Arabidopsis thaliana: one gene and its partner. The protein of the gene in region 1 interacts with the protein of each later gene in a pairwise test. Each region holds a gene or a part of one and is shown in the gene's direction. Other genes may lie near its edges.

Region 1 (4,910 bases):
CAATAGAGACAACAAAGATGAATTTTAAAAAGCAGCTTAAACCGAAGCCTATATATGTGAAGCAAGAGAAAAATAAAATCCTGAAAATATGCATTTCTTGAAGCATAACGAGAGTTGATGGCCTGATAGTGAATCTGAAAGCAAAGGCACCCAATAATCACCTCTATATAAAACCAAACCAGCAGGAGAGATAACTTTGGTGTTGCCAAGAAGAAGAAGCAGAGGAAAGCCCGACAGTATTAAGTTGAAAAGGTCGGTCCAAACCAGCCAATTTAGCCCTCCACAGTAACTGAACGTCCTTTATTCTAATTTGAGCGGGCTTCAACACCGCAGTATGAAGTCTTGAATTTCTTTCCCTCCATAGGCAATAGACCACAGCTTGAAAGATTAACATGCATACTGCCTTTAACCTTTTAATGGAAGATGCGTTTCTACACAAGCACCAATATCAATAGGCAAGCAAGCTCTCAAGAGTAGAATCAGATGTCTTCCCCGAGGTCTAATCCATGATCCATCCGCACAAGCTTGAGAGACCGTAGCCATAATTTGAATTCCTGTAACTCTGGGTCCATTCAGCCTCGAAATATCTATCAATGGGCCAAGTGTTGTCCAATCTGATCATCATGCCAATCATTATGATGAACGAGATGAGTTTTGTGGAAGACATTTTTTTAGTTACTGTGAAACAAAACAAGCAACGTTTCGTTGTCTATTATTTAGCAACCTTTTATTTATACACACAAATGTAATACGAATGCAAAGCAGGGAGAGAAGTGACAAATAATCAACTTCATTTACATCTAAAGTTGAAATTTCTATTCACTTATCCAAAAGTACTAGGACAATATGACTCATCGGTGAAGGCGTCTGGTGCTGACAAGTTCAATGTCAAAAACGAGAGTTCCAAGAGTAGAACCTTCTCCATTGGCGAGACGTGTTGGGTTAAATATAGTCGTGAAGAGTCTCTGTCTGTCAAAGAACTGCAAACACAACAAGAAACAAACAAAGGATTTTTAAACCAATCTTTGGTACTATATGTTTCTGCAAACAATCTGAATAATATGACTGGTTCTCTAAAACTTTCATATCAAACAGATTGATACTAGTTCAAGTCCCTGTGGCTACTGAACATGACGTAACTAATTATGTTCTTATCACCTAAATAGTTTAGGCCTAAACCAAAACTAGCTTAAGAGTGTGGTGCACTAAGGCACTAAGCCAGGCCCAAAGCTAATCCATGTGGGACTCTAAAATAACATATGACTTTCATATTAAGATATTATATGAAAATGTTAAAGGAGAAAGAGGTGTGTGTGCACACATACGTTTGGTGGGAGAGGCTCCTGTGATGTATTCTGGTATCCCTGAGATGGAGGTATAACCACCCGACGAATCCCGCCTACTTTCATAGACCTCACAGCTGTTTCAATCCCCGGAATTACCTGCACATCAAAATGTTTCAGTCATCACAAAACATCATCATAGAGACATAGAAGAAGTATTATCAACTTCAAAAACCCAAACCACTTAGTTTGTTACATCACTATTCAATGAAGAAATGTATCAAAGGTCACACCTTTAAATCAAATTCAGATAATTTTTCAAGACCCATGTCACAAAAACTTGGACTTTATGCAACACATGATTGAGATAGAAGCATATAGAGATAAAGGTTTATACTTTGCTAGAACCAAGGACGAATGTGAAAGGAACAGCTTCACCATTACTATCTTTATGATCATATGTTGAATCAAATCTCCATCCTTGCTTCGCAGCTAATCTCCCATAGTAATGTATTTCAATCTAAAATTCAAAACTTTGCAAAATTGAATCAAATGGTTCGTTCATTTGCTGAAATCTATACAAAAATACAAAAACACAAAACCTGATCTCCTTCAATGGGAACGTCACCATCGCCGATTCGGAGGTCGAGAGCTTTAACGCCGCCGGAATTAGGGATTTCAGAGAAGTCGGCTAGTGCCGGAGACGAGAAGCAAAAGGAGGAGACGACGGAAGACGTGACGGCGATAATTGACAGAGATATTGATCTTCTAGATGCTGCTGCAACTGTCGATGATGATGATGATGATGATGATGGTGCGGAAGAACGAGATGCGAAGATTCTGAGAGATGGCGGAGATGTGAAATGGACGGTGGTGATTAAGGGAGCACCTACTAGTGGTGTCCACGCGAAGCACCGAATCATTTTTCTTTCCTTTTTATTTTATAAGGAAAGTATAAAAATGAAGGTACACATATTCTAGCTTTTGAGAGGTCAGAACTCAGAAGTGGATGGAATTTGATTTGGATTGGGTTGGGATTACGATAGTTGCTGCCAAAACCTTTCTAGTGGAAACAAGAATAAGCTACATATTGTATTCCCTTATCAAACTTTAGTTTTGTGAATAAAGTGTTACGAAAGTGTAATAAGATAGATGAAAAAAACAAAAGAGGAAAAAGTAGGAGATAAAACATGATAGAATAAATTCTTGATCAAACCCCTTTACCTAGGGCTATATATGTACACATTTAATAGCTTTTCTCTGTCAAGTTGAATGTACTGATCAAGATAACAAATTTATCAAAAATAAATACATCATACTGGTTTATGAGCAAGAAACATTGCTCAGAATTATTACCAAATAAGATGTTTAGAAACCAAGACTCGAAATACTTGATCCCGGTGCAGAAAGAAGCGCCACCGGTGACAACTTTACCGATGAAAGCTTCAACGGTGAAATCTCCACACAACTGTGAGGCCATTCTCAGAGACGCAGATCCTCCGATCTCTCTCTCCTCTGTTAATCTCTCTGAACAGCTACGGTCTGGTGTTTTCTTGAAACCCAAGAAACAGGTTCATATTCTTTTTAAGAATTAGCTCACTTGTGTTTCTATTTTCAGAAAATAACTACGCAAAACGGAGCCTTTAGGTAAACAAAATTGCAAACACAGAACTTCTGGTTCAAAAAAATTGAATCTCTCATTTCTAAAATAAAAAGTAGCTTAAAAAAATGATCAGATCACAAAACAAACGTTTCCATTCTGCTTGGTTTAGAAAGACATGATTGCTACTTCCACATAGGTTTCAAATGCTTCGAAAGATAAAATAAGATAGAACTAATGGACTAAAGTAACACTATCAAAATGGTAACTTTTTGTTAAGAAAATCAATCTTAATATATTTAAGACGGACCATGAATTCATTTGGTTTGATGATCTGCGTATAATATATATTAAACAGATCAAATATTGGGTGGACGAGAGAAACAGCAACTGCTTCATGCTCTTTGCAAAGAACCTCTCTATAACTTGGTCTGATGACGTCAACTATTGGACTTGGTTTACCGAAAAAGAGTCACCAAAGTAAGATACGTTTCATTTAAATCCCATACTATGAATGTTACCACAAAATGAATATCTTTGTTACATATTTGATTTACAATAGAGTTGAGTATGAATCAAAGTATCCTTGATAAATTCGAAACAGGTTACGACGTTTTAAGTTTGTGTGTGTATATTATAGCAATATTAATACGAATTTTGACCTATAATTATTAATGCAAAGTGACAAACTTTAGTTTGTTTTGGATGATTTTTAAAGCGAGAATGTGGAAGCTGTGGGATTGAAAAACGTTTGTTGGCTCGACATCACGGGAAAATTCGACACGAGGAACCTCACTCCGGGGATTGTTTACGAGGTAGTCTTTAAGGTGAAGCTAGAGGATCCGGCCTATGGATGGGACACGCCGGTGAACCTAAAGCTAGTCTTGCCTAACGGTAAGGAGAAACCACAAGAGAAAAAGGTGAGTTTGAGGGAACTTCCAAGGTATAAATGGGTCGATGTCAGAGTTGGCGAGTTCGTACCTGAGAAATCCGCTGCCGGAGAGATCACTTTCTCAATGTATGAGCATGCGGCTGGTGTTTGGAAGAAAGGGCTCTCCCTCAAAGGTGTTGCAATTCGTCCCAAACAGTAATAATTGTTATGGCATAGAAAAACATAAATCTCCATATGCACCAATGGACCTTCTCAACATATATTTCACATCATGTCATGTGTGTATAATAAGGTTGTTCTATCGTATTTTTAGTTTTAATAATAACTTTAATGTTGGTGTTGAATAAACTCAAAACGAGTGTTTTGAAGGTTGTTATATTCGAATCAATTCATTTACAATGTTCTAACTTTTAACGAGCTGACATGAATTTATTTTTGGTAAAAAAATAAAAAGTAGAAAGATTTTCTATGAACCTTAAACCTAGTTAGATCCTATCAAAACCCATATTTAATTTGGCATAAACAATATTTTCTAAACATGTGTAAAATATCCACATAATCTCTCAATTAGGCATTTTTGATAGATAATCTTAAAGGTATATGAGCGAACAGTCTATATGCGTGGATCATGTTCACTTTTTAAAAGAGTATTCGAAAATTCCATTTTGGTGGAGAAAATGGAAGAATAAAGCTAGCTAACATATCAAATGAAAAGTATAAAGAATCAAACATGTTTAACAAGACGTAAAAGAAAATGGAATATATTCCAATCAAAATTTTGTTTGCGATGTGTACGGTGTACCATTTGTTTAATTTATGTATTCTAAAGTTTGATGATACTTACAAAAATACACTAATGGAGAAGTCTACTATATATAGCCAAGAGCCCAAGAGGTTGGGTACAAGTCTAGGTAGTTCAGCTATTTTTGGATATTTTGACATAATTTAGATAATTTTGTGTTAAACATTTTGAGAATTTTTGGATTTCGACCATCAGATAAGAAATTACTTAATCTAATGAATAATTTAGTTATACAAAACATTCAGGTCGGGAAGGTATAATCATGAAATTCCTCTATAAATAAGACCTGAATACAATAGCTAGTAAAAGAAGAAGAAAACATATAACGAAAAC
Region 2 (5,628 bases), on another chromosome or scaffold:
GGTGACGATTTTTTCTCAACAAACTTTAACAAAAGATCAATTTGAAAACCTTGCAAGTGTTTATTTAGAGTCAAACCCTTATAAAAATATATAATATACAAACTTTATCTTGTGATAATTATACACTTTGTTTGTTCCATATATCATTTTCATGGACGGGAAATATTTGCTCTCTTATCTTTGTTGGTCCTATCTAATAACGTGGTTGATGAATGATTTGTAGTCCAGTACGTAATTTCATCATTTAATGGTTGATTGATATACATGATAGATTTTTATAACATATTTCACATTAGAATTTACATGACAGTATATATTTAACGTTTGGAGTTTACTGATTAATTGTCTTAAAATATCTAAAAAGCCAAGTAAAACTCTATTTACCTTCTAGAATGTATGGACCATAATCAAAATTACTACATGATAAGAAGTAGACTATTTCAAAAGTCCAAATGGGATCATTATTGAATAAAAGTCCATGGCGTTGAAATAACTAAATTTTCATAAAGTAAGTGAGAAATCGGGAATGCAATTAAGAGAAAAATGTCGAGAAGGGAGATCCAAGTTGCCGTTAATTTGCATATTTTCTTTGCTTGAGGATACTTTAAACTTACCCGCCAACTATATCTTTAACATGCTTTCTAATTTGAATTAAACCCATCAATTTCTATGTATTAACTTTTTACGTCAAAATTAAGAATAGTATTTTAAGCATTTTATTCTAAATATCATCTTTTTAAAGAGACACAATACTATAGTATCTAATATGTCGTTCATTTGTAATATGTTATATTCAAAATGTATTCTTAATTTACTAAATTTGATGTTTTACTATTTACAAAAAGTTTGAGAAATTTCGGAAAATTCGATATCGTCAGGTCTATTATATATACTGCAAATTAGAATTAAAAGTTTGTGGACCATGATTCAATCTGCTCCGACATGGCCCGCTTTGATATTTCAGACTATAGCTTTATGGTTGGCTCTAAGTTAACGATGGATTCTATAGTATAAATAATAGTCGTAGTGGGTTGTTCAATCTATTCGGTCGTGTTTCATATTTGATCATAATCCACTTTTTAAGCTTTTTAGTAGGTTTGTATATACTTGTAAGACTTTTCAGTCGGTAGACAATTGTTTAATCAGTGGTTTCATCGGCTGTCATAACTTTCAATCTGGTTAATGTTTAAATTTTTCTGATTTAGCCAAAGGTGCAAAAATGAAGAAAACTTTGTGAAGCGTGTGAGAAAAGGTAAATGCGGAGCAACCTAACAAAATATAATAATATAAGGTAAAAGATGTAAAAATGTTAACATTGACGACGAGATTGACCCATTGTTCATGTTAGGTACTGCTAAAGTATTAATATGGTTAACATGCGTAAGGAGAACACTATTATTAATTAATTCTGTCCTTTATCCCAAACCCAAAAGAAATAGATCTTAGAATACTTAAATACGAATAAAAGATGTATAGTATAGTCCTATGTTGGCTATCTAAATGCTCAAAATGTCTTAGCCTTGTTCTCTTTACTATATCTTTATAAAATCTATCCTCTACATATACGAAAACATTACGTTTTGTGGCTGAGTTCTCAAGAGAAAACTAAAAAATAATTAATGAGTTGAGAACTAGTAGACAGAAGTTGGCACAAGTCAACACACAATATTAATGTCATGAGGTGAAAACCAATTTAGTAAACTTGGATAAAAATTAAGGCTATAAGCTAAATGTGTAAAATATAGCACATAATGATAAGCGTAATAGAGCAAGACCGATATTGTTAGTTCATCATCATCATCATCATCATCATATATGTTGGTTGGCAAAATTTATTGCTATTAGTATCTTATCAAGTTTCAACAAAAGTAAGTTAGAAATAAAAACTGATGCCACATTTCTTCTTTCATAGTAAAAAAATCATAACATTGGAAACTTTTGAGAAAATCAAGCTTCGAGAACAGGGTTGACAAATCCATAACACCCAATCGAATTTAATATTTGAGATAGACAAATTAGCGTAACCGTCTCACCCTATCCAAAGAATTTATTCATTTCTCTCTCAAGTTTTCTCTAATATTTTGACAAAATTTTCAACGACTTATGTCGTATTTAGACACAACTATGTTACTACCACATATACACATATATACTATTTAGACACATATACTATATAGCTTTGAGTCTCCTGTGTGAGAGAGAGAGAGAGAATTGTGTTGTTGCATAGTTCCAATAATGGCAAAGACGAATCAAGCCATCACTATCTGTTCCCTTCTTCTGCTTCTTCTACTCTCTGAAACAACTTCTCACCTTCTTTGCTCAGATTCAAGTAAGTGTTCTCTATGTTCATGTCGTTTTTAGTTGAAGTGTTCTTGCGTACATGTCGTTTTGAGTTTAATGGCTTTTGTGTTCATGTCGTTTTGATGAATTTTTCGTCTTTTTGTCAGAGACTCCAGTCAACAACAACGAGACACTCCAGTTCTGCGATTCCTACAAAGAAAGATCTTGCTGCAATTCTAAAGATGATCTTCAATTACAGAATCGCTTCAACTCCATGAACATCTCTGACTCTAATTGTTCTTCTCTTCTCAAATCCATTCTCTGTTCTGTAAGTCTTAAGAATAAGAATCAATCTTTCACTTATGCATTTGCTCTGTTTGAAGCTAATTGATTCTGAATCTCTGAGTCTTTTTTTTGTTTCCCTCAGAAATGTGATGAATTCTCAGGACAATTGTTTGGTGATGATGATAGTTCTCTAGTTCCAATTCTCTGCAACTCAACATCACAAGACTTATGTTCAAAACTTTGGGATTCATGTCAGAACATTTCCATTGTTTCTTCTCCTTTTAGTCCCACTCTACTTGGTGGTGCTACTTCGCCTTCAACTTCATCAAATTCATCGACATTAACCGATCTTTGGAAATCCCAAACCGAATTCTGTACAGCCTTTGGTGGACCATCTCAAACCAACAACAACAAAACCAAATGCTTCAATGGTGAACCGGTTAACAGAGACACTAGTGATGATGATGAGGATGATGTTAAGACACCTAAAGGAATATGTCTTGAGAAGATAGGAACTGGTTCTTACCTTAACATGGTCGCTCATCCTGATGGTTCGAACCGGGCCTTTTTCTCTAACCAACCTGGTAAGATTTGGTTAGGTACAATACCGGATCAAGACTCAGGTAAACCGATGGAAATCGATGAATCAACTCCTTTTGTTGATATTACCGATCAAGTTAGTTTCGATACGCAGTTTGGTATGATGGGAATGGCGTTTCATCCTAAGTTCGCAGAGAACGGGCGGTTTTTCGCGTCTTTTAACTGCGATAAAGTCAAATCTCCTGGATGCTCTGGTCGTTGTGCTTGCAATTCTGATGTTAACTGTGATCCTTCGAAGCTTCCTAAAGATGATGGCACGACGCCTTGTCGTTATCAGACCGTTGTGTCCGAGTATACCGCAAACGGTACTTCCTCGAGCCCTTCAACGGTAAGTTTAAAACTAAAAAAGATTCAAGATTTGATTTCAACCAAAATGTGAGTTTCTTGGGGGTCAAGATTTTAACAAGATTGTTGCTTTTATAATTGTGTAGGCAAAGATTGGTAAAGCATCTGAAGTGAGGAGGATTTTCACTATGGGACTTCCGTATTCTTCATCTCACGGTGGTCAGATTCTCTTTGGACCTGACGGGTATTTGTATCTCATGACTGGTGACGGAGGAGGAGTTTCAGATACTCACAACTTTGCACAGAACAAGAAGTCGTTGCTTGGCAAAATCTTGAGGCTTGATGTTGATGTTATGCCAAGTTAAGTGACGAAATCGATAACCAAAAGCCTGTATTTGGGAGTTTGGATTTGGTGTTTTAACTCTTGTTTTTAAACTCTGCAGGCGTATCTGAAATCTCTAAGCTTGGTTTATGGGGAAACTACTCTATACCAAAAAACAATCCTTTCCAAGGAAATGAAAATGAGCAGCCTGAGATTTGGGCTTTAGGGCTACGAAATCCATGGCGCTGCAGCTTCGATTCCGAAAGACCAGATTACTTCTTGTGCGCAGATGTCGGAAAGGTTTGTGTATTTTTTTTCTTACGTCTCAAGCATCTAGTTCTGTGATGATGCAGAGTTTCTCATGAAATGATTGCTGTGTTAAAAATGTAACAGGATACATATGAAGAAGTTGATATCATAACAATGGGTGGAAACTATGGCTGGAGAACTTACGAAGGACCATATGTTTTCTCACCGTTATCGCCTTTTGGAGAAAATGTTTCCTCGGATTCAAACCTGACATTCCCCATTCTCGGTTACAACCACTCTGAAGTGAACAAACATGAAGGATCTGCTTCCATCATTGGAGGTTACTTTTATCGATCCAACACTGATCCTTGCTCTTATGGAACGTAAGTAAAAAAACTAAACCATGAACCCTAATTCCAAACCCTAAAAGGCTAAAACACTAAATCCTCAAATATTTTTTTGTCTCAGGTACTTGTATGCAGATCTTTATGCAAACGCAATGTGGGCAGCGATCGAATCACCAGAAGATAGTGGAAACTTCACGGACTCTCTAATACCGTTTAGTTGCAGCAAGGATTCACCGATGAAGTGTACCGCAGCTCCAGGAGGAGCTAGCTCAGGACCTGCTCTTGGTTACATTTACTCATTTGGACAAGACAATAACAAGGACATACATTTACTCACGAGCTCTGGTGTGTATCGAATTGTTCGTCCTAGTCGCTGTAACTTAGCTTGCTCCAAGGAAAACACCACCGCTTCTGCCGGAAAACAGAACCCTGCTGGTTCTGCTCCTCCTCAGCCTTTACCTTCTTCTGCAAGAAAGCTCTGTTTCTCTGTGTTTTTGTTATTGTCGTTGTTGATGATGTTTTTAACGTTGTTAGATTAGAATGATGATTGTTTCAGACTCTGTTTTGTAACAGTTCTTATGGATGTTATTCAAAAACTATTTTGTGATTGCTTATATTAGACGAACTCATATGTAATAAACCATTAAGTTTGAGTTCTTTTGTATTGTTATGTCGCAGCAATGTGATCAATCTCCCAGGAACAATCGTTTTGCTGGTAGATATTTCAGTTAGCCGACCAATTCAACACATCTTCAAATTAGCCTATGAAGACTTATGTTCGAGTTCGACACTAGGTGTGCATGTCAGAAAATCTCCAGTGTCTATATCAGCTGTTATCTTCTTCTACAAGAAAGCTCTGTTTCTATGACATGACCTCTTTTATCTTCGTGTAGTTTTCTTTGGAGGGTGAATATAACACATGCAGAGAATATAGATAACTAATTAATGGAGAAGAAATGAAGATTGTCGAGTACCTAAATGAAATCTTTACGGCTGCCGATAATTATTGACCATTGCTTGGAGACGCATTGGAACCTCACAAGAGACTTGGCCGGGAGTTTCTTCAGTATCTCCACCGTTAGATCGAGAGGAATATTAATATCACCGGCTGTTATTTCAAGGCAGCAACTACGTTTAGAACATTGTGACTTGTGAGAGCGTATATGATCACACTCTTCTCTTTCTCCCTTCATGACGCTTTTTCTTTCGGTAAAACATAAATGTGGAGCATACAAGGCTCGAACATAGACAAACGACGAT

The links.
Region 2: the proteins of PP2-A1 (region 1) and HIPL2 interact in a two-hybrid assay, tested with the Arabidopsis thaliana proteins (one large-scale study listed by BioGRID).

The regions. Positions count from the first base shown.
Region 1 is NC_003075.7:10,771,728-10,776,637, forward strand, and holds PP2-A1 (phloem protein 2-A1), read left to right. Parts: upstream 1-2,206; 5' UTR 2,207-2,608; coding exon 2,609-2,854; intron 2,855-3,241; coding exon 3,242-3,363; intron 3,364-3,601; coding exon 3,602-3,974; 3' UTR 3,975-4,215; downstream 4,216-4,910. Other genes in the region: AT4G19830 (FKBP-like peptidyl-prolyl cis-trans isomerase family protein), read right to left, coding at 852-980, 1,326-1,442, 1,681-1,803, 1,886-2,206.
Region 2 is NC_003076.8:25,142,998-25,148,625, reverse strand, and holds HIPL2 (hipl2 protein precursor), read left to right. Parts: upstream 1-2,038; 5' UTR 2,039-2,235; coding exon 2,236-2,329; intron 2,330-2,447; coding exon 2,448-2,608; intron 2,609-2,707; coding exon 2,708-3,493; intron 3,494-3,596; coding exon 3,597-3,810; intron 3,811-3,893; coding exon 3,894-4,072; intron 4,073-4,165; coding exon 4,166-4,404; intron 4,405-4,489; coding exon 4,490-4,907; 3' UTR 4,908-5,108; downstream 5,109-5,628.